Sus scrofa: one gene and its partner. The protein of the gene in region 2 purifies or fractionates together with the protein of the main gene of each other region. This does not show direct contact. Links are inferred from orthologs where the notes say so. Each region holds a gene or a part of one and is shown on either strand. Other genes may lie near its edges. The genes, in order: WAS and PSTPIP1.

Region 1 (11,464 bases), on a different chromosome or scaffold from region 2:
TTCGCTTCTGCTGCATCACGACAGGAACTCCACTGCTTGCAATTTTATGTCACTCATTTATTCACTGTTGAATTCAGTCACTCATTCAGTCAATCATCCATCCATCCATTCATCTATTTATCCCCATACCCATTCACCTGTATATCTTTTTTTTTTTTTTTGTCTTTTTGTCTTTTCCAGGGCCACTCCTGCAGCATATGGAGATTCCCAGGCTAGGGGTCTAATCAGAGCTGTAGCCACCAGCCTACGCCAGAGCCACAGCAACGCGGGATCTGAGCCACATCTGCGACCTACACCACAGCTCACGGCAATGCCGGATCCTTAACCCACTGAGCGAGGTCAGGGATTGAACCCGCAACCTCATGGTTCCTAGTCAGATTCGTTAACCACTGAGCCATGACGGGAACTCTCACCTATATATCTATACACACAACCTGTACATCTATCTATATTTTCATCCTTCCCTCAATTCCTCGTCCTATTCAATCATTTGTCCACCACCAATCCATCTAACTACACATCCATTCACCTACTCATTCACCCACTTATCTCTGTACCCACCCACTTACTCACCCATCCACCCACTCCCCCACCCACCTGCCCACCCAGAGACACAGGGAAGAATCAGCACTCACCCCCTTGGTCTCCACCTGGGTGCGGGGGCACGGGTGGGAGCGCTCCTCTTCTCTCTGGGAAGATGGGATGGGTAGAGAGCCATTGCAATCCTGCCACAGGTTCCTGGGCCGGGCCCTTTTTACTCCTAATTGCACTCGCTAAAGGACTCACCTTCATTGGCTGGTGTGGGTGGAGTGGGGAGCTGGCGCCTGTCTGTGGAGAGACAATTCGACTGGGAACCAGAACCATGATGGGGGCTTTTCCAGCTTCCCACTCTTTTTTTTTTTTTTTGTCTTTCTGCCATTTCTTGGGCCGCTCCCGCGGCATATGGAGGTTCCCAGGCTAGGGGTCGAATCAGAGCTGTAGCCCCCGGCCTACACCACAGCCACAGCCACGTGGGATCTGAGCCGCGTCTTCGACCTACACCACAGCTCACGGCAACGCCAGATCCTTAACCCACTGAGCAAGGCCAGGGATCGAACCCGCACCCTCATGGTTCCTCGTCGGATTCATTAACCACTGAGCCATGACGGGAACTCCCTCCAGCTTCCCACTCTTGCACTCACCTCTGGGCAACCTCTTCTCCTCCCCCAAGGCCTGCTCACCTCCACTTTGCCTCTGATTCCTTTTTTGGATCTTCTCGTGCACCAGGGCCCGGAAGGCCTGGGCCTCGCCCTCATCTGCAAAGTTCAGCCCCGCCTGGCATTCCTGCACAGGCCTGGGGGTCAGCAGCCTTCCAGGTGCACCCTGCCCCCCACCCCGACCCCTTTCCCACCTCCTCCCAGCACCCCGACTGAGGCCCCTGGGGGTTGGGTGGTCTCTTACATCTCCAGCAAAGGTGTGGAAGAAGGGGGTGGGCGTGGAGTAGACCAGCTGTGAGTACAGCTCCTGTTCCCAGAGCAGCCGGCCGGCCTGGAGAGGCAGGGAACATGCTGGCACTGAGGCGTAGTATACAAATTTGGGGTCCTGGGATCTGATTTGGAGCTTTCTAGTTCAGCATCAGAGAGTTGAGGGACTAGATGTCTGGGGCGGATTGGGGTGCACTATGGGAGTCAGATACTTCAGTGAGAGGATTTGGGATTTGGGGGTTTGAAGGTGAGGATTGAGACTCTCAGTCTAGGAACCTGAGCCCCTTTGCAGAATCCATCCTGAAGCCTGCCCCCCTTTATGGGGGGGCCTTCGTTTGGGCAGGTAGGGTGCCAGTATTGGGAACTGGGTTGAGATTTGAGGTTCAGACCTATAGACTTGGGAGGTTGATTTTTGTCTTGGGGGGTAGCCAGCCAAGTTATGTGCAATTTGAGGTTCATAGAGTAGAGTTATGGCTTTGGATTTGGGTCAATATTCGATGGCCCTGGGATTTTTTTTGGGGGGGGGCTAGTGTGCAGCAGCTTGATGTGGGATCTCAGCTCCCAGACCAGAGATTGAACCCGAGCTGCAGTGGTGAAAGCTCTGAATCTTATCCACTAGACCACCAGGGAACTCCCAGCTCTGGGATCTTGATGTGGCTCTACTGAGTCTATCTTCATGGGTTTAGAAGAATGAATTTGGGGTTTATGCTTAGGGAGTTGAGGTTGGGGATTTGTGGAACAGATTTCTGGCAGTATTTGCGTGCTCCGGAGTTTTCACATAGGAATTCTGGGGTCCATGCTGTGGTTTTAACAGAACAAATTTGGAGTTCAAGACTCAATGGCATATTTAGACTGGGGGGTTATGGAACAGATTTATGACTTAGGAGCTAGGCAAAATTCTGGAGTTCAGGAGCTTTGAGTGGGAATATTTTTTTTGTTTTTCTTTTTAGGGCTGCACTCATGGCATATGGAGGTTCCCAGGCTAGGGGTCGAATCAGAGCTACAGCTGCCAGCCTACACCACAGTCACAGCAATGCGGGATCTGAGCCACATCTGTGACCTACACCACCGCTCACGGCAATACTGGATCCTTTACCCACTGAGCAGGGCCAGGGATCGAACTGGCACCCTCATGGATGCTAGTTGGGTTCATTAACCGCTGAGCCACAATGGGAACTTCTGAATGGGGATTTCTGAAACCCAAAATGTTGAGTTGCGAACAGATTTGAGGTTCACATAAAAAAATAATAGCCTGTTTTTTTGGAGGTTTTGGAACAGCTTAGACTTTGGAAGTATACTAATATTGGGAATTATAGATCTTGCCATGAAGACTCTGGGGTCAGTCATCGCAGACTTAGGAAGCCAAACCACGGGTTGACATCTGGATGAAGTCTTTGGTTCTGGGGATCAGGGGTTCACTGATCTGAGGGCTCAGGGTTACGGATATAGGTGTGGGTTTGCGGGTTGAAAGCTAGGGTGTCTGTCCGGTGGGGGGGTGTGGAGGGTCACCTGAAGGCCGTAAAGGCGGATGAAGTAAGACTTCTGGGGGTTATCCTTCACGAAGCACACAGCTCCACAGTGTTCTTTGGTCCAGTGCTCAGCTCCAGGGGGCAGCGCCAGGTACAGCTGAACAACCGCGGTGGCCAGTGTCTGGGAGGGGAGAGCAGGTCTCAGTCGGGGGGGGGGAGCGCTGAGGGGGGGTTGGCCAGAGAGGCTGGGAACCAGACGTGGTCCTTCCTTGTCCATGGCTGTCCTGGCTCTGAAGGTAGAGCTGCAGCCAGAGGAAAAGCGAATAGACGGGGAGATCTTCCTGGGATGGGTGAATGGGGGTAAGTGGGTGCCAGGAGAGGAGATGATGGAAAGGAAGAGGACGAGGGGAGGCAAGAAGGATGAGGAAGATGAGGAGAGAGGGAGAGGAGGCGAGGGGGAGGATGAGGAAGATGAAGAGGCGGAAGAGGAGGCGGAGAGGAAGAGGAGGAAAAGGAGACAGGGAGGGCCAGGCGATCCCCAGCTCACCCAGCATTTCCGTCCGAGCATCTCAAAGAGTCGCTGGTTCTCATGGTCCTGGAGGAGCGCAGAGGGTATGTTCTGCTGGACCGCGGCTCCTCCTCGGCCCCCGGGCCTGCCTCCCGCAGGGCCCCCACTCATGGTGCCTCCTGTCCTCGTCTTCTCCCGTCCTGTCCTCTCCGGCTAGGCTCTGAGTGCAGGGTAAGAAGAGGAACTTCCGCAGTGAGCAGGGGAACAGGAAGTGCAAAAAACCACAAGGGAAACAAGTCCTCCGGGGGCCCCTGGGTGGGCCTGGCCTCCTCCTGCCTTCAACGGGGGGGGGGGGGGGGGGCTCCTCCATGTGCCTGGTTGGACCCATCTTTTGGACCCACTCATGTCCGCCTCCTTTCTTTCTTGCGCTCTGGGGCCCACCTCCCTCTGACCAGCGCAGATCGGCCTCCCTCTGGTTGGCTGGCAGCAAGAGCTAGGCCGCTGCGGCACTTCTGCAGTGCAGCCAGGAGCGGGCATGGAGCCGGGCAGCCTCCTTCCTTTCCAAAGCATCCAGCTAGTCTGGGCCCAAGGTCCCAGGCCCCTAGGGCTGAAGGGTTACTAGGTGAAAGCTTTTCCTTTAATGATATAGCTAGCGCCTGGGACCCTAGCCCTCTCCTGAGACCCCCAACAGCCCAAGGGCACTCAGCTCAGCTTCCCCATTGCTACCCCTACCTCCCTGTGGCTCCCAAAGTACTTCCTGCTTATTATCCTCCTTTATTTTTTAAAAAAAATTCATCTCTGGAGTTCCCGTTGTGGCTCAGTGGTTAACACATCCGACTAGGAATCATGAGGTAGTTGGTTTGATCCCTGGCCTTGCTCAGTGGGTTAAGGATCCAGTGTTACCGTGAGCTGTGGTGTAGGTCGTAGATGAGGCTCCGATCCTGCATTGCTGTGGTTCTGGTGTAGGCTGGCAGCTACAGCTCCGATTCGACCCCTAGCCTGGGAACCTCCATAAGCTGCAGGACCGGCCCTAGAAAAGACGAAAAAAAAAATCCCTTTTTCTTTCTTTTCTTTTTTCTTTTTCTTTTTTTGTAGGGCTGCACCCAAGGCACATGGAGGTTCCCAGGCTAGTGGTCGAATCAGAGCTGTAGCCACTGGCCTGCGCCACAGCCACAGCAACGCCGGATCCTTAACCCACTGAGCGAGGCTATGGATTGAACCTATGTCCTCATGGATACTACTCAGATTCGTTTCCATTGAGCCACAATGGGAACTCCCTCCTTTTCTTCCTTTTTAAAAAAAATCTTATCCCCCTTTTTTTAAGAAAGGAATGCTAGGAGCTCCCACTATGGCGCAACAGGATTGGTGGCATCTCTGGAGTGCTGGGGCACAGGTTCAATGCCAGCCTGGCACAGTGAGTTAAGGATTTAGGCTAGTCTCAGCTGATGCTTCGGCTGCAGCTGCAGCTGGGATCTGATCCCTGGCCTGGGAACTCCATAGGCCCCAGAGGCAGCCAAAAAAAGAAACAAGAAGGAAGGGATTTTATAGCCTATGTGCATGAATGCCTAAACACCATCTTGTTTACTTGCGGGTCCGTTGCTTTTCAACTTTTGAAAGTTTGTAATCTTTGGAGACTTGTTTTTCTCCTTACTCAACATCCTGTTTATATGTATAGCACTGAACTGTGTGAGCCAGGCACTATTCTGACTTCTTTGTAAATACTGACTCATTTAAATCCTCATACCAGCCTGGGGGACACATGCTGTTTTACCAGGTCCATGTGACAGAGGGAAACTGAGGCACAGAATGCTTAAATGACTTCCCCAGTAGCTCCCAGCTAGTAAGGGGCAGAGCCCAGACCGCAAGCCAGAAAGGCTGGGTGCAGAGTGTACACTTTTTTTCTTTTTAGGGCTGCACCTGCAGTGTATGAAAGTTCCCAGACTAGGGGTCGAATCGGAGCTGTAGCTGCCAGCCTACCCCACAGCCACAGCAATGCCAGATCCGAGCTGTCTGACCTACACCATAGCTCATGGCAATGCCGGATCCTTAGTCCACTGAGCGAGGCCAGGGATCGAACCCAAATCCTCATGGATACTAGTTCATTACCACTGAGCCACAACAGGGAACTCCCCATAGTGTACACTTTTCATGCTCCATCCCCACTCTGTTACTAAGATTCATATTTGGAGTTCCCGTCGTGGCGCAGTGGTTAACGAACCCGACTAGGAACCATGAGATTGTGGGTTCGATCCCTGGCCTCGCTCAGTGGGTGAAGGATCCGGCGCTGCCGTGAGCTGTGGTGTAGGTCGCAGACGCAGCTCGGATTCCGTGTTGCTGTGGCTGTGGTGTAGGCCGACAGCTGTAGCTCTAATTGGACCCCTAGCCTGGGAACCTCCATATGGCGCAGGTGCGACCCTAAAATGACAGACCGGAAAAAAAAAAAGATTCATATTTGCTTGTAGCAGTTGTTATTTTCAGTGCTATATAGTATATACCATATAGCATATATATATATATATATATATAGTTACTATACAATTTGTTTATTCATATCCTCCTGTTAACAGGTATCTGAGCTGTTTCTGGCTTTTGTGGTTGACAGCAACACTGGCTGCTGTGTTGCTCCTGTATGCATCTCTTGGTCCACATAGGCATGCACCCTCTCAGGAGGGGAATCTGGGCATTGCAGGGTTTGCATAGCTCTCATTTTTTTTCCCACCCCTTGGCATATGGAGTTCCCCAGCCAGGGATCAGATCCAAGCCACGGTTGCAATGTGAGACACAGCTGTGGCAATGCCAGATCCTTAACCCACTGTGGCGGGCCAGGGATCAAACATTGGTCCCAGCGCTCCCAAGATGCCACCTATCCTGTTGTGCCACAGCAGGAACTCCTGCAATAGCCCTTTAAAAATGTTTTTCTGGGCATTCCCACTGTGGCTCAGTGAGCTAAGGACCCAACGTTGTCTCTGTGAGGATGTGGGTTTGAACCCTGGCCTTGCCCAGTGGTTAAGGATCTGGTGTTGCCATGGCAACTGCAGCTCCAGTTCCATTCCTGGCTCGGGAACTTCCACATGCTGCAGGTACGGCTGTAAAAATAGAAGAAAAAAAAAAAACATGTTTTTCTTTTTGGCCACACCCATGGCATGTGGAAGGTCCTGGGCCAGAGGTCGAACCTGCGCCATAGCAGTGACAATGCCAGATCTTTAACCTACTGAGCCGCAAGGGAACTTCAAGAGCTCTAACTTTGACAGACTGTCTCCCCAGACGAATGCCAGCTCAGTCCCCACGCCTCCCTGGGTCACGAAGAGGACACAAAGACACGCAGCTCTCAGGCACACATACAGCAGCTTGGTGGGGGTGGAGGCAGGTTAGCATGTCTGGCATGTGACTGGCATATTCCCAGGTACCTGAAGGGAAAAAGCATATTTCAAGGCTGGACCCACAGTCCTATCTGGAAACCTTGTATCGCCCCCATGCCTGCAGGTGACAAGCTTCTCTCCTAAGCCTAGGCTCAAAGCCTGTTGTGCTGTGACAATTCCAATGTCCCTGCCTCCTCTCTGCTCACAACCTCATGTTGGGTGCTCCCAACTCACCAGGCGATGGATTTCACACCTTCTGGCCTGGAGCCCCTTCCAGGCTGGGGTAAGGTCCTGCTTCTCCTCAGCTGGCCACTGCATTCGCTCAGGTTGACACTGTTGTTGAGCTCTCACTGTGCACCAAGCATCCCTCCAGTATCTGGCACAAACCAGACACTCAATAAATGTTTTATTAAAGGAATGAATGAGGGATGAATGTCTCATTTGATTTCATATTTTCTGATCTTTTTCTTTAAAAGTATTTTTGTTTTTTGGTCTTTTTAGGGCTGCACCCTCGGCATATGGAGGTTCCCAGGCTAGGGGTCAAATTGGAGTTGTAGCCACCGGCCTACACCACAGCCACAGCAACACCAGACATGAGACGCACCTGTGAACTGTACCACAGCTCACGCCAACACGGGATCCTTAACCCACGGAGGGAGGCCAGGAATCAAACCTGTGTCCTCATGGATGCTAGTCAGATTCGTTTCCGCTGACCCATGATCGGAACTCCTTAAAAATTTTTTTAAAATAAGGTATATTTGATTTACACTGTTGTGCCAATTTTCACTGTACAGCAAAGTGACCCAGTCATCCATATATATATTCTTGTTCTTTTTCTCACATTATCTTCCATCGTGTTCTAGCACAAGAGATTGGATAGAGTTCCCCGTCCTATACAGTAGGATCTGATCTTTTTCTAAGTGCCTTACACTTATGAACTCATTTCATACACAAAGATCCCATGAGGTAAGCTCTCCTGCTATCTCCATTTTACTGATGTGGAAGCTGTGGCCCAGAGAAGTGTAGCTGACCTGCTTGAGGGCACACAGCTGTCCAGTGGTGGAGCTGAGGCCAATTATGTGAGAACTGGTTCCTAAACTGTTAAATGCCAGGTGGGGCTGAGAGAAAATTCTTCTGCTCCTTCACTGTCTTTTTTTTTAATCCTTCTTTCTCTGCTTCTAGATCGGTCCCCCATAAGTCTACATCAGAGGGCTTTAAACCTCGGCAACATTTGCTGGTGGTTTTGTAAATTAACATTTAAAAGTTGTATATTTCCTGTTCTTATTTCTAAGGAGCAGACACTTGTATTTGCTTTTTTAAAAAAATTAAAGTATCATTGATTTACAGTGTTTTTTTGCCTTTTATTTTTTGTCTTTTCTAGGGCCGCACCCGCGGCATATGGAGGTTCCCAGGCTAGGGTTCGAATCAGAGCTGTAGCTGCCGGCCTACACCACAGCCACAGCAACGAGGGATCCCAGCCGCATCTGTGACCTACACCACAGCTCACAGCAAGGCCGGATCCTTAACCCAGTGAGCGAGGCCAGGGATTGAATCCGAAACCTCATGGTTCCTAGTCGGATTTGTTAACAACTGAGCCATGACGGGAACTCCTGTTTTTTTTTTTTGCTTTTTTAAGGCTGCGCCCACCGTATATGAAATTTCCCAGGCTAGGGGTCAAATCGGTGCTGCAGCTGCTGGCCTATGCCACAGCCACAGCCAAGCCAGATCCAAGCTGTATCTGCAACCTAGACCACAGTTCCCAGCAATACCAGATCCACGACCCACCGAGCGAGGGCATGGATTGAACTCACATCCTTATGGATACCAGTCAGATTCCTTCATGCTGCACCACAATGGGAACTCCCTATATTCATTCTTTTGAAATATTCTTTTCCATCACGGTCTGTCCCAGAAAGTTGGATATAATTCCCTGTACTGTACAGATGTTTAAAATGTGTATTTTTTTCAGAGTTCCTGTTGTGGCTCAGTGGTTAACGAATCCGACTAGGAACCATGAGGTTGCAGGTTCAATCCCTGGCCTTGCTCAGTGGGTTAAGGATCCAGTGTTGCCATGAGCTGTGGTGTAGGCTGAAGATGTTACTTGGATCCTACGTTGCTGTGGCTGTGGTGCAGGCCAGCGGCTACAGTTCCAATTTGACCCCCAGTGTGGCAACCTCCATATGCTGTGGGTGCAGCCCTAAAAAGACAAAAATGAAAATAAAAATAATAATAAATAAAAAGAACAAAACCCAAAGGATAAGCAATGAGATTCTGCTGTACAGCCCGAGGAACTATATCTGATCACTTGTGGTGGAACATGATGGAGGACAATGTAAAAAAAAAAGAATGGGAGTTCCTGTTGTGGCGCAGCGGAAACAGATCTGACTAGGAACTATGAGGTTTCAGGTTCAATCCCTGGCCTCCCTCAGTGGGTTAAGGATCTGGCGTTGCTCTGAGCTGTGGTGTAGGTCGCAGATGTGGCTCAGATCTGGTGTTGCTCTAGCTGTGGTGTAGGCCAGCAGCTGTAGCTCTGATTCAACCCCTAGCCTGGGAACCTCCACATGCTGCAGGTGCAGTCCTAAAAAGACCAAAGACAAAAAAAAAAAAAAAAAGAATGTCGTATATGTATAACTGGGTCACTTTGCTGTATAGCAGAAATTGACAGAACACTGTAAATCAACTATAATTAAAAAATTAAAGAAAGGGTTAAGGATCCGGTGTTGCTGTGGCTGTGGCGTAGGCCAGTGGCTACAGCTCTGATTCAACCCCTAGCCTGGGAACCTCCATGTGCCTCAGGTGTCGCCCTAAAAAGACCAAAAAAAAAATAAAATTAAAGAAAAGCAAATAAATAAAAAGAACAAAACCCCTAATCCAGTTTTTCCAGTTGTTCTCAGCAGGAGAATGGATTGAAAACTTCTAAGTCAGCCCCACAGCGGGGAGCAGAAGTCCTAACTCACTTCTCAGTAATCTGGTGAACCCCCAGGAACCTGAGCATATCCGTAACCTGCACCCACCCATGTTCCCCCAATACCTTCCTCTGCCAACCCCCAGGGGGTCACCCAATGAAGAGTCATTTCCTGTCTCTCCCTTGTGCTTATCTGCCTTTATTTTGAGGGGATATTGCTTGCAAGATCCCGACTGCCATGCCCCAAGTCCTGAGTAGGTAAAAAGACACCTTCAGTGACATTGGGGGTGTCTTCCACATTCGGGTCACTGTCACATGATTGAGCCCATGATGGAGAGGTAGGTCCTACCGCTGGCCTCTGAGACCAAACTGAGGCCAAGACAGCGAAATGTCCTTTGCCACACTGTCCTCCTCCCCTTACCTTCTGGCTCCTCGGGGTCCTCCCTACCCCTGATGGAGGGGTGCTTCCTGGGGACAGGCCTAAGGAAACAGCAGTTCCCAGCCCTCTGACTCAATGCTCCCTCTTCACAAGAAACATCTGGGGAGGGCTTTTGCCATCCTGGAATGACATTCATGTATGTTCCAAGTTTCTTTCTTTCTTTTTTTTTTTTTTTTTTGTCTTTTGTCTTTTTACGGCCTCACCCGCGGCATATGGAGGTTCCCAGGCTAGGGGTCAAGTCAGAGCTGTAGGTGCTGGCCTACACCACAGCCACAGCAATACCAGATCTGAGCTGGGTCTGCGACCTACACCACAGCTCATGGCAAAGCTAGATCCTTAACCCACTGAGTGAGACCAGGGATCGAACCTGTGTCCTCATGGATACTAGTCGTCGTTCCCACGACAGGAACTCCTTTTTTTTATGTTACAGGTTTTGATGGTGTGGGGCTGTCCCCCAGCATCTCAGACCCCTGCCCGTTCAATGCCAAAGTACCCCAATCATTGTGATAAACAAAGTCTGCCTACCAGGATTTCCCAGGGCAGGCAGGAACTAGACCTCTGCCTTTTTTTTTTTTTTTTGGCCACCCTGTGTGGCACATGGAGTTCCCGGGGGCCTGGGATCAGATCTGAGCCGAAGTCACAACCTAAGCCACAGCTGCAGCAACACCAGATCCTTAACCCACTGAACTGGGCTGGGTATCGAACCTGTGTCCTGGTGCTCCCAAGACACCTTGGATCCCATTGTGCCACAGCGGGAACTTCTTGCCAGCTCCCTACCACCTAGCACGAGACACCGCATACAGAGGCTCAATCAATATTTGTTGAATAATCACTATACAGTCCAGGTATTTATGCTGTGATTCAGTGCCCTCTTTCCATTAGGCTCCTTTGTCCTCCCTTCAATCCCCTGCCTGGGAAATGGGACAAGGAAAACAGCTTAGTGTGCAGGGGCCAGCCCCTCCCACAGAAGTGTCTACACTGTCCACTGATGCTATGGGCAAATAGGCACTTTAGGGACCCTCAGGAGATGGGCTGATTTCTAGTCCTGGTGGGGGTGGAGCGAGGAAAGGGCATGCACAGAAAAGCAGAGACACCTGTGGACATTAGAATTGCTCAGTGGAGGGGTTCCCATTGTGGCGAAGCGGGCATGAACCCAAGTAGTATCCATGAGGATGCAGGTTGGATCCCTGGCCTCACTCAGTGGGTTAAGGATCCAGTGTTGCCTTGAGCTGTGGTGTAGGTTGCAACTGATGCTCAGATTGCACATTGCTGTGGCTGTGGCAAAGGCCAGCAGCTACAGCTCCAATTGGACTCCTAGCTT
Region 2 (11,464 bases):
CTCTGTACCCCTCACCTTAAAGCGAGGAACAGACTAGACTCTAGGATCTGGGCACAGCTGTCCTGGGGCTTTTTACTCATCCTCCCCTTGTGGGCCTCAGAAGATCAACCCCGGCACAGCTAAGCCTCGCTCTGGCCATGGCTTGTTCTGGCACCCAGGGTCATGGAGAACAAGGGCCTCACGCGTGGGGGCCTAGCCCGAGCCTCACACCACATCCTTAGGCAGCCCCGACTCCGGCAGCCTGCCTGCACATGAGCGTGGGCCCGTGCAATGCCCACGGCTGCCTGGACATGTGTGCGTGACCAGCCCCGGGGCCTCGCGCCATTCAGCACTTTTCACTCGGCAGGTACGGGCTGGGCCCCCTCATAAACACCGGGTGCTGTTCTAAGGGCCTCCGCCCAGCATATTCCCACCGCGGGGCTACCAGCGCCCTCTTAGCGAGGGGACGGAGCGGGGGACGCTCACCTGGGCTGTGTAGTCATAGAGCGCCCTGTAGTCCTGGGCTGGCAGGGTGGGGGGTCCTGGTACCTCCTGCACGTTGATGGCAGCGTAGACACCCTCATTCCGATCGGGGATGGGAGTCAGGGTCTCTGTGGAGGCTGAGAGCAGGGTGAGGCCTGGTGCCCGCCTCTTAGCAAAAAAACAGATCCCTGGAGGCCCCCCGGACGTGAAGCTTCCCCAGACCTGGCTCAGCCTCTGCCCGACCTCAACCGTTGGGGGGTCCATCTGTGCCAAGTAGGCATCCCCCCCTTTCCCCCCGGGTGACAGCTGCCCCCCCAATTACCCGCAGAAGCTGCTGGCGAAGCATTCTTGGGACTTCCGTGCAGTAGCCCGGAGAACCTGGGGACAGAGGAAAAGCAGGTGAGCGCTGGGGGGAGGATGAGGCAGGGGGCCCTCGGGTGATTTATGGGGTGCCCCTCACCAGGAGGGCTCCCCAAAGGGTGGTCCCAGTGGCTTTTCCCTCCCCAGCAGTGCTCTCCGGACCCTCACCCTGTAGACATCTCAGTACCTGCTCCCTGCGGAGCCTCGGGGGCGCCAAGACTTCTGTGCTCCAGCCTCCCCCAAGGGCGAAGGAGCTGCCGTCGGAACTCTGAGCACAGTCGCCAGTGAATAAGTGGGGGGGATTATTTGTTTAATGCCTAGGTCCCCTTGGGCCGAGGGTGTCACAAGGCTAGATTGAGCCTGTCTTGTCCCCAAAGAGCACCCAGCACCAGGCACACCACAGATACTCGATAAATACATACGGAAGAGCCAGCTGCAGGAGGAGAGGCTGGCCTCACTTCCCGGCCGCCCTGCCCCCTCTGCCCAGCCTCGTTCCCAGCTGGCTGGCATCATGCGGAGGCTCACCTCTTTATCATACCACAGGATGGCTGTACACCGGGGCTGCCACATGACGGGGAGATCTCCCGATCGTAGTAGTTCTGGTAGGGCACCGGAGCTGCAGACCACAGCAGGCCTGTGAGGCCCAGGGTGGCGAGGGCAGGGCAGGCAGGACACGTGCCACTCCCCACCCCTTCTTCTCCCCAGACAGAGACCCAGGCTGGGGCCCCACCTTCCTGGCCTATGCCCCAGCCTGCCTTGTGCCTGACGAGGGGGCCCCCCTCTCACTTCCCATGCAAGATCCCACGGTGGGTACCGCCAAGAACGAATATTCCAGACTCAAGATTTAGTGGGGCAAACAGGCTGGGTGCAGAGGAGGCTCCTTATCTCCCCGTTCTGTGTCCAGGGTTCTTTGGCCCTGCTCATCTTCTCAGAGGACAGGGGATTGCTGTCCCTAAGCTCTCTCTCGGGTCTGCTCCTTCACCCAGAAGGGAGCTGTGAGCCACCCCAGCTCTGTCTGGGCCCGAAGCTCAGAGAACCCAGGCCAGGCCTTGCAGGGAAGGCGGGCCTGGGCCCAGAGGCTGTGCTGCCTGCAGGCTGCCCTCACCTGGGGGCTCGGTGCCCGTGCTCTTGGCCTGGATGAAGCCGTCAATGTCAGCGTCCACGCTGCAGCCTTCCAGTGTCACCCGCACCTCTTCGTAGAGCTGGGGGTGGGAAAGAGCAGAGGCTGGAGGGTTAGAGCGCTGGCTGGCAGCTTCTCCTGGCTTTTGAACACCTACTGTGTGCCAGTTCCTTTGCAAGGGATTTACCTCACTCTGAGGTAGATGCGACTTGCTCACTTTATAGATGAGGAAACTCCGAGAAGGGTGACTTGCCCAAGGTCACAGAGCAGGAGTTCAGTGTGCTGGGCTTTGGATCCAGTATGAGACGATTCAGAGCCCACACCCCTTCCTCTGCCATGAGGAGGCCACCAGGTGGGCTCAAGTCACTTGTGGAGAAAACCCCAAAACTCCACCCCCCATGGGCAGAAGGGGTCAGGCAGGGGACAGCAGTTGGCGTCAGGGAGTCCGGGCTGCCTCGAGAGAGGGTCCATGGCTCCAGGGCTGCGTCAGCAGAAGTCCAGGCCCAGGGGGCCGGGGGGAGGTGGCAGGCCCTCTCTGCTGAGGAGGACACATCCGACATGTCGAGCTCAGTCAGGGGGGAACCAGGGCACACTTGAGGTGTCTGGGGGCAGAGGAGGGACTGGACCTTGGCTCCTGCAAGCACCAGGCCTGGAGCAGAACAACCCTGGGTACCACAGCTTATCTGCAGACCTGAGCAGCTAAGTCCACCTGCCTTCCCAAACCCGGCAGAGGGAGCAGGGTGAGCAGACGCCAGGGTCCCTGCAAAGCAGTCTTCTGGGCAGAGGCTGTGGCCCTGTGCCTGCTGACTCCCTGTCCTCGGGGCCCCAGGGCAGAGGCTCAATGCTGAGGTCTGAGGCCGCTGGGGCCAGGGCTCGGACCACAGAGGACTAGGTGTGCAGATGGCTCAGATGGCCCTGGGTGCGCTGTTGCCCAGAGGTTGCCCTCCCCTCACACCCCCACTCACCCCCTCCCCTCCCTGCCCTCGGCCCACACCTCGTCATCCTTGACGCACTGCATGGAGAGCTGGTTGCAGTGCACCCACAGGGCATTGCGGAGGATGGTCAGCCGGTCAAACTCTTGCAGCTGGAAGGCCTGGGGGGAGCAAGGGGAGAAGCTGGGGCGGGGGGTGCTACCGGGCTGGGCCAGGCCAGACCCCCTCTGCTGAGAGCCAAGTCTAAAGGAAGGATTCTTCCTGGAGAGCCCCACCCCCACCTCTGCCAGCCCCTGAGGCTTCTGGGAAGGGTGCAGCCTGTGGGATTCCTGCCCCCAGCCCTTCCTCCAGGCCCCACCGCAGCTCTGGGGCGTGGTGTACAGGGAGCCCTGGACCCTGAATCCTGAGGCTGCTGCCCTCAGCAGAGCCCAGGCAAGCTACAGGGTCTGCGTGCGCCTCAGTTTTGGTTTCAGCCAAAAGGGGCAAAGGATGACTGTCTGCAAGAAGGGCCCCTGCACAGGGCCTGTGGGATGAGTGGATGAGTGAGGGAATGAAGGAGCAATGCCTTCCCCCCCCCCCCACTGCCTCATCTCCCCCTGAAGCAGCCAGAGCAGGGGTGGTGGCTCCCGCGATGTAGCTGAGCAAGAGGCTCCATGCCTGGGGGTCACTCACCTCGCAGGTGGTCCGATGCTCCTGTTCCCACTCGCCCCGCACCTTCTCCAGCTGCTCGATGTTCTGCCTGTACACCCGCTCTGGAAGCACAGGGGGTCCTCAGGGAGGCCGCCCCTGCCTGGGTGCCTGCCTCCCACTGGAGACCCGCCCTGGCTGCCCGCACCCATTGGCACACTCGGCAGGGCCACCACCATGCTGGTCCCGCTCTTCTCAGGTGACTCAGCTCCCCGCTGTGCTCCGGCGGCCTGGGGCTGGGGCAGAGCCTTGTACACCCAAAGTCAGAGTCAGGCCTCTCGCCATCTCAGCTCCCACCATCTCACTTTCCAGATGGGAAACTGAGGCTCAGCGAGGGCAGCACACAAGGAGGGATGGAAGGGGCATCAGGAGCTGTGGGGCTGGGAAGCCAGGGGGGCTTAGGCCATGACCTCTGTCCCCCAGCCAAGGGAGAAGCTGGGTCCTGGGAAAGGCAGTGCCACCAGAAGGGAGAGCTTCCCAGGGAAAGAGAGCAAGGAGACGCTCTGTCCTAGGAATTGTGCCAGCAGAGACAAGAGGTGTGGGGGGCTTCTGACATCAGGAGAAAGATAGAGGAGACAGGCCCTGAGAAGGCTGTGTGCATATCTGAACACCTGTGGGTACGAGAGCGGTGTGTGCGAGGAGAGGGAGCCTATCTCCCTCGACTGTGGCTGTCCGGGCCCTGGGCCCTGGAGCCGAGGGCTTCTATTTGCAGTTATCACCACTTCCTCGCTCTGTGACCTTGAGCAAGTTACTTAACCTCTCTGTGCCACCAGAGTTTCCTCATCTGTTAAAAAGGGGGATCAAGACAGGGATCACTGTTGTGGTGTGGAGTAGTTCAAACGTGCAAACCACCAAGAACCGTCCTGGCAAATGCAAGAAAATGAATGTTTTTGTTTTACTCACATAAATGTGGAAGTGAGAGTGATGAGCAAGTGACAGTGTCCCTGGGGTGAAGGATGTGCGTGTGTGGTGGGGCCACCCCACCCCCTGGGCTGAGGAGGGGCCCTTCCACGTACCTGCCTCCATGGCGGAGTCCTTGCACTGCTTGGCCTTGTTCTGGCTCTGAGGAGACAGCAGAAAAGCAGCGCTGAGGCCCCAGCCCCCGGGTCCCCGGCCTCCCTGGGCATCTCAGAGGGGACCTGTCACAGCCTCCCCGGCCACCCAGCGGGACACTAAGGAGCCACATATGGGCAAGTTCCCTCGTTTAACTCCAGCCTCTCCCCACGGGCCCACAGGGTGGTTCTGATGAAAAAGGAATAAACCAGAAACCTGCAGCTCAGATGTGAAAACTAGATGCTGAGACTTAGAGCAAGAAACGACCTGGGGCCCCACGACCACTGCAGAACCCACTGCCTGGGGCTTGGGCTCTGGTCCTGACTCGCTGCCACCAACTCGCCCGCAGGCCCCTGCCCTCTCTGGGCCTTGGCTTTCCTGTCCGGGACAAGGGCAAACGCGTTCTCAGGCCCGGGAGGCTCCCACATCCCGTTCTGGCCTAGAGGTCAGAGCCGACAAGGGCTGGGGCCTGGCCACTCCGGGTGGGGGTGCTTTCTCTGCTGCTTCCTCGCCTTCTCTGGGCCCATTTCCTCTCTGTGACATGGGCCTACCGAGCCCCTCTCCCAAGGGTCATGTGAGGGTTAGCATCTGCTCTCATGGCCCTGTGAGCTCTGGGCCTGCTCCGAGGAAGGACCTTGAGTGCAGCCTGGACATGGCAAAGTGGATCGAGCTGACGCCATCTAGACCCTGAGATTCCAGGAAACCCATTTCACAGATGGGGAAATGGAGGTTCAGAGAGAGGGGAGCAGCCAGCGTGTTCCAGATGCACACCTTGCCTTAACGGTCTGTGTCACCCCTGCCCTGACTCCCGCCCTGTCTCAGCCCAGGGACACCAGGTGACTTCAGTGGCTCAACGCACCTTCTCCACCTGCTTCTGTTGCCCATTGGCACTAATGCGCTCAAAGATCTGCTCCGCGTCGTCAGCATCCCGGCACTTCTGCTCATACGTCTTCTTGGACTGGGGGGCGGGGACACAGACACATGACGTAGAGGCCCCAGAGGGAGGTTTCTGAGCTCAGCCTCTCTTCTACCCGCTGAGGGGTGTGGATGGAACAGGGGCTTCCTCACCACAGACAGGGACTGGGGGTCCAGAATGGAGATGGAGAAGGGCATCGTGTGCCCAGGCCCCTTCCCAGTGGGGACAGGGTAGCCCTGCCTGTGGCCCTGGCCTCTTCAGGGGCGTGGTCACATCAAACTACCAGCAGGGCCCTGAAAACGCCCTGCACTGTCACAGGGGCAGCCTCTGCACATGCCGTCCTCTCCTGTAGAGCCATTTTTTTCCTCCTTACTCTGTCCTAGGAGACAGTTCAGAGGTCCCCACTCCTTTCATCCCCCCAAGTCCCCAGCTCCAGCATGGATGACCCAGGGGACCACTGTCGGGACCAATTACCTGCCCATCAGGAGGAGCTCCCAAGGGCAGGTGGACCCAGCACAGCCCCACTGTGCCTGTTGCTGGACAGAGGCCTGAGGCCAGCCCTGTCCCTTGTGCCCGCCCAGGGCTCCTGGGATCCACACCCTGAGCCCTGCCACCCCCAGGCCCAAGGCCCTGGCACTCACCTCCATGGCCTTCTTGTAGAGGGACAGCTTACTCTTCTGGACACGGTCCATGACAGCTTCGAACTGCGGGGGACACGAAGCTCTGAGCGTGGGGCTGTGGCCTCGGGACACTCCCCTAGGCCAAGAGGACGGGTGTCCCTGGGATGAGGCCCAGCATCCCCTACTGGCTCTGAAGGGGGTGGCACCAAGACCCCCCTCTCCCAGGACCTGCTCTTTCACAACCAGCACTCAGAGCAGAAAGCGGGGAGCCCGAGGCACGGATGTGCCATCGTAGCCTCTCGCTACTGACCTGTCCAGACTTCATCTCTAGCTGGGGACACCCAGCCTGCACGCACGCATGCGCCCCTGTACCCGCATACAGCCATCATGCTCCGTGTACACATGCGCACAGAGTTCCACCCATGCGCAGAAGTACACGCTAAAAGGTTCCTACTGCTCATACTTGCACACACAAGGCCTTCACACACCTCTCCCAAGTGCCACCCCCCCTGCCATGAGCCTCTGCACACAGGTGAACACACACTCCAAATTTAGTCATGGCCACACACGCAGGCACACGGGGCCTCTGCACCCCCACCTTGCCTCCCGTGCTCCTCGTTCAGATGGAGGATGTGCCTGGCAGGGACTGGAAATGAGGGAATGAGACACCCCTCATGTCAGGGCTATAGCCAAGTTGTGCCTGGGGTCACAGTGGGGCCTGTGTCAGCGACAAGGCCTCAGGAAGCCACCTGGTCCAACACACACACACCAAGACACATGCATGTGTTCACAGGTGTGCACACACACACACACACCCATGTTCTCCTGGGCACACACACATGTCCATACATGCACATGTGTGCACACACATGCAGGCAGTCTTCCCCACACACTGCATCATAGCTCTCCTCTGCTTGTGGAGGACCTGGCCACTCTGCGGAAGGTGTCACTGTCCAAAACAGCTATTTGTAGACATCACAGTCTCACTGGCCACAGGAAAGCTCAAAATAGCCATCCTGGGGCCTCATGGTCACAGCAGATGTTTCCCAGGCAAGTTTCAGCCCAGAGAGGGCCTCTGCTCCTGCACCTCAAGGCCAGGCCAGTTTCTGTGGCTGGCTTTGGGGACCCACAGTCTGCTCAGGAACCCAGATTTAGAATCCTGAAAGGCTGAAACCCCAACTAGCTAGATAGGCAGACAGGGGGTGCAGCCACACTGAATTTCTGTGGTAAGAGCCTCTAATTGGAGCTGGCACCTTGCCTGTGAAGACTGAGGGGGGCTGGTTCTGGTCTGGGTCCCCAACACTTGGGAGGTGGACATAAGTGTCCCATCCTGCAAGAGGGAAACGGAGGCACAGACAGGGGAAGTGGCTTGGCCGGGATACTCAGTCCCAGCCATGAACTATCTCCTTCTTCCCCTTCCCAGCTCCGTTGAATGGATTCTTCCATTCCAGTTCCTTGGACAGTTTACAATGATCCTTCCTCTCCAAGCAAGAAGTACATCTGTGTGCTGGCCTCCCCGCCCCCGTCCAAGGCACCACCCTCATCACTGAGGCCCATCTGCCTTCCCAGAGGGCCACGAGCTCCACCAGTCAGAGTCTCAGGTTTGGGAGGGGGCCCTGGGACACAGAGGTCACCAAGCCCACCTCCCATCCAACCTCTGCTGCATCCCTCCCACTTCCTTTCCATGCGGTCCCTCTATCTAGGGACAGCCACACCCTACAGATGAGTGAAAAGCACTTTTGGATGCTAAGGTAAACTCAGCACCCCCACCACTTGCAAGCTCTGTTCCCTTCAGCCTCAGGCAGCCCTGCAGAATGGCCGCCGTGACTGACTCGCCCAAGTCCTCCTTTCTCCCGGATAAACAACCCTGATCCTTCAGCTCAGGACCAGTTTCTGGTGACTCCCCTCCTTTGGATACCCCCAAGCTGTCAGGGACCCTCTACAGCCTAGTGGAAGTAGGATAATCAAAATGACCAATGACTATGCAATGCAATACTATCAGCCATAAAAAAAAGAATGAAATAATGCCACTTGCAGCAACATGGATGCAACTAGAGATTCTCATAGTAAGTGAAAGAAGTCAGAGAAAGACAAATGTCATGTGGTATCCCTTATATGTGGAATCTAAAATCCAACGCAAGTCAATATATCTACACAACAAAAACAGGCTCACAGATATAGAGAACAGTCTTGTGGTTGCCAAGAGGGAGGGAAGGACTGGGAGTTCGGGGTTAGCAGATGCAAACCATTACACAGAGAATGGATCACAACAAGGACCTACTGTAGAGCACAGGGAATGGTATTCAATATCGTGTGATAACCATCATGGAAAAGAATGTGAAAAGAATATCTACGTGTGTACAAATGAATCACTTTGCTGCACAGCAGAAATTAACACAACATTGTGTAAATCAACTATACGTCAATAAAAATTTTTCAGAAAAAAATGTTAATGTCTTTCCCTCTTCTTGGTAGAAGATAGCTCAGTGGGAAGACCTACGGTCGGGCTTTCAGGCCTGAGAGCTGGGCCCTGTTCCAAGCCTGGAGTGCAGTCTCCCCACCTTCCAGGAGGAGAGCCCCTCCCCCACCACTTCCACTGCCTCACCTTCTTCCTCTGCTCCTTCTGCCTCTCTCGGAACTCCTCCAGGCTCCGCAGCTCCTCGCGCAGGGCCAGGGCCAGCTGGATGTGGGAGCTGCCCACGTTCTCCATTTCTGGGGGCAGAGTAAGGACGTCAGTTGCTGATATCAGACTTGATGGGCCCCAGCCGCTCACACACTCGCCCCCACCTGGACCAGCCCAGCCCCAACCCCACAGGGTGTCTCCACCAGCCTCACAACAACCCCTCCCAGCCAGGATCCATCCATCTCCAGCTATGGGGATACCGTGTTCCCAGAGGGTCCTGTCACCCTGCAGCCTGCGGTGGGGACAGGTGGGACTTACGCTGCTTCAGGGAGTCAAAGGAGGCCCTCAGGGAGCTGCAAAACAGAAAGACCAGGGTCAGCAGGAGGACAGCGGGGCAGAACCTGAAGTCCTGGCTGGGCCCAGGGACTTTTACTTCCGTGGGAGGGCGCTAGGTCACTCACACACACCGATCTCGACCCAAAGGACTCTCTGGCCAGACTGTGACCATCCCCTCAGAGCCCAAGCTGGAATTTCTGGAAGGCAAAGCTCTCTTTGGAAAATACAAAGGAGTCAAAAGCTCCCACTGTGGTGGAAGGCTCCTGGCTTCTGGGAGTCCCCAGCCCCCCGCCCCCCAGAGTCCCTCCCCGGTAGTCCTCTTCTCTCTTTAGAATGAACTGAAGCAGGAGAAGGTGGGGTTCAGACCTGGCAGGTGGCCTGAGGACATTTTGAAGGGAGTGGAATGGGGGCTCTGGGGGAAGGGGGGTGACAAGCAGGCAGGGGTGCTGCAGGGGAGAGATGTGGGGGCTTTAGGACAGGATGAAAAGGATGTACAAGTGAGGACATCAGAAGGCTGAGGGCTTCCCTGGTCCCTGGCTGGGCGGCTGGGCGGCTGGAAGGGACACCTCTGAGTGGGTCCCAGGAGGGAAGAAGATAGGGAGTTACTTTAGGGTGCACCAGGCTTGGGGTGCCTTAAAAACCCCAGCAGGAGGAGTCAGGAAGCATCGAGGTGGCCAGTCTAGAGCAGAGATGTAGGTGCTGTCCACTCCAGGGGTTGAGAGGGAGAGCGGGAAGGGAAGCAGGTGGCGCTGGGCATGGGAGGTGAGGGGTGATGCACCAGGTAGAATTGCGAGATGGAGCAAATAAAAATGCCGGATAGTTAAGTTCAGATTTCAGATAAACAAATACTTTTTGAATATAAGCATGCCCCTGGTAATATTTGGAATATACTTACATTTTTAAAATATCTGTCATTTATCTGAAATTCAAATTTACCGAGGCATTCTGTATTTTATCTGGCAGTCCTGTGGAGGGGGTCTCTCCCAGAGCTACAAATCGAGCTGAGGCCCGAGCAGAGGTGTCGAGCCCCCTTGGAACCCCATCCTGTCTGCTGGGAGGTGAGGGGCACCAGGAGGCACAGGGATCCTTGGGTCAGAATAGAACTGACAGGGAAATGCCTGCCCCAGCCTGTCAGGCACAGGGGCCTCTCAGAGGGGTGAGCACCACCTCCTGGCAGAGGAGGGAAGTGACTCGTACTCCCAGGCTAGGAACCTGGGTAGGGACCTCCCACTCTGGACTCCCACATGCATTAGAAGACGACCCTGGAGCCAGATGGTCTGGGTTCAGTCCAAACCCTGCCACTCACTCTCTGTGTGACCTTGGACAAGTTCCTTAGCCTGTGTCTCAGTTTCCCCTTCTGCCAAATGGGGATAAAAACAGCACAAACAGAATGGTTGTGAGGATCAAATGAATTCATATGTATAGAGTACCTCTGTCAGGACCTGGTGCAAAGCAGGTGCTTTACAAGGGCTGCTGTTGTTAGGCCTCCCTCTGCTGAGCCCACATCTGCACAACCGGAGGCATCCTGGGGGGGATCCCTCAGACTCCTGAACCTGACCTGAGCTATGCCCTCAAAACACTCTATCTAAGACCTTAATGCATGTCCCCTATTATCAGAAACCTCCTGTTGGTTCGCCTTCAGGTAGGGGGTCCCCTTGAAGCAGCCCCATAGATTAGGCTCCCTTTCCCTCACTCCCTGCCACCCCGTGGGCGTGAGGAACAAACTGATCATGAGCACATGTGTGTGAGGGATGCCCGGCCTGGGCCCGTGGGTGAGTCTCCAAGCACCCAGACAGAGCTGGTGTGTGGGGCTCTAGATTGGCCCTGAAGTGAGGCTTGTCGGCTCTCAGGAGTAAAATTCTCCGCCTGTGTTTATGGTCCCTTAACTAAGGAGGCGAAATACATACTGCGGCTGCCCCCTTCACCAGGACTCCTGAGGAGCCATAGCCAATTGGGCATATTAGGGAAACAGGCCAGAGGGTGGCCAGGCTTGCTGGGTCACACGGCGAAGCGTCCTGCCCTAGCCGCATTCTTTTGCCGCTATCCGCCCAGCGTGCCCTCGGCTTCCACCCCGCCGCTCCGCGAAGCAGCGCGCGCGCCCCCTGGTGGCCTTATCGCCGCATGACACCCAGTGAGACAGCCCTGCCCTTCTGCCCTCTCTCCTGCAATCCTTGCAAGTCAGGCTTGGCAGGGGGCTCCCTCCTCCCACAGGTCAGTTAGGGAAACTGAGGCCATGGAGGAGCAGCAAACCAGCAGCATCCGCATCACCTGGGGGTTTGTTAGAAACGCAGATTCTCAGGCTCTACCCCAGTCCTCCCAAAGCAGAAGCTGGGGGGTGGGGGCCCAGCACACCGT

Evidence for each region.
Region 1: the proteins of PSTPIP1 (region 2) and WAS purify together in Homo sapiens (affinity purification with western blotting; 3 studies listed by BioGRID and IntAct, with this or other methods). This does not show direct contact. The link is inferred for Sus scrofa from reciprocal best matches to the Homo sapiens genes PSTPIP1 and WAS.

Annotation. Positions count from the first base shown.
Region 1 is NC_010461.5:42,775,791-42,787,254, reverse strand, and holds part of WAS (wiskott-Aldrich syndrome protein), read right to left. Parts: intron 7,050-11,464; exon of another isoform or gene 7,034-7,049; intron 6,799-7,033; exon of another isoform or gene 6,783-6,798; intron 3,661-6,782; 5' UTR 3,612-3,660; coding exon 3,480-3,611; intron 3,114-3,479; coding exon 2,973-3,113; intron 1,528-2,972; coding exon 1,441-1,527; intron 1,324-1,440; coding exon 1,221-1,323; intron 829-1,220; coding exon 787-828; intron 690-786; coding exon 636-689; intron 1-635. UniProt on the Homo sapiens protein: Effector protein for Rho-type GTPases that regulates actin filament reorganization via its interaction with the Arp2/3 complex. Important for efficient actin polymerization. Possible regulator of lymphocyte and platelet function.
Region 2 is NC_010449.5:57,133,031-57,144,494, reverse strand, and holds part of PSTPIP1 (proline-serine-threonine phosphatase-interacting protein 1), read right to left. Parts: intron 9,127-11,464; coding exon 9,092-9,126; intron 8,863-9,091; coding exon 8,756-8,862; intron 6,235-8,755; coding exon 6,172-6,234; intron 5,573-6,171; coding exon 5,474-5,572; intron 4,624-5,473; coding exon 4,578-4,623; intron 3,627-4,577; coding exon 3,547-3,626; intron 3,036-3,546; coding exon 2,937-3,035; intron 2,025-2,936; coding exon 1,928-2,024; intron 1,439-1,927; coding exon 1,348-1,438; intron 841-1,347; coding exon 785-840; intron 600-784; coding exon 466-599; intron 1-465. UniProt on the Homo sapiens protein: Involved in regulation of the actin cytoskeleton. May regulate WAS actin-bundling activity. Bridges the interaction between ABL1 and PTPN18 leading to ABL1 dephosphorylation.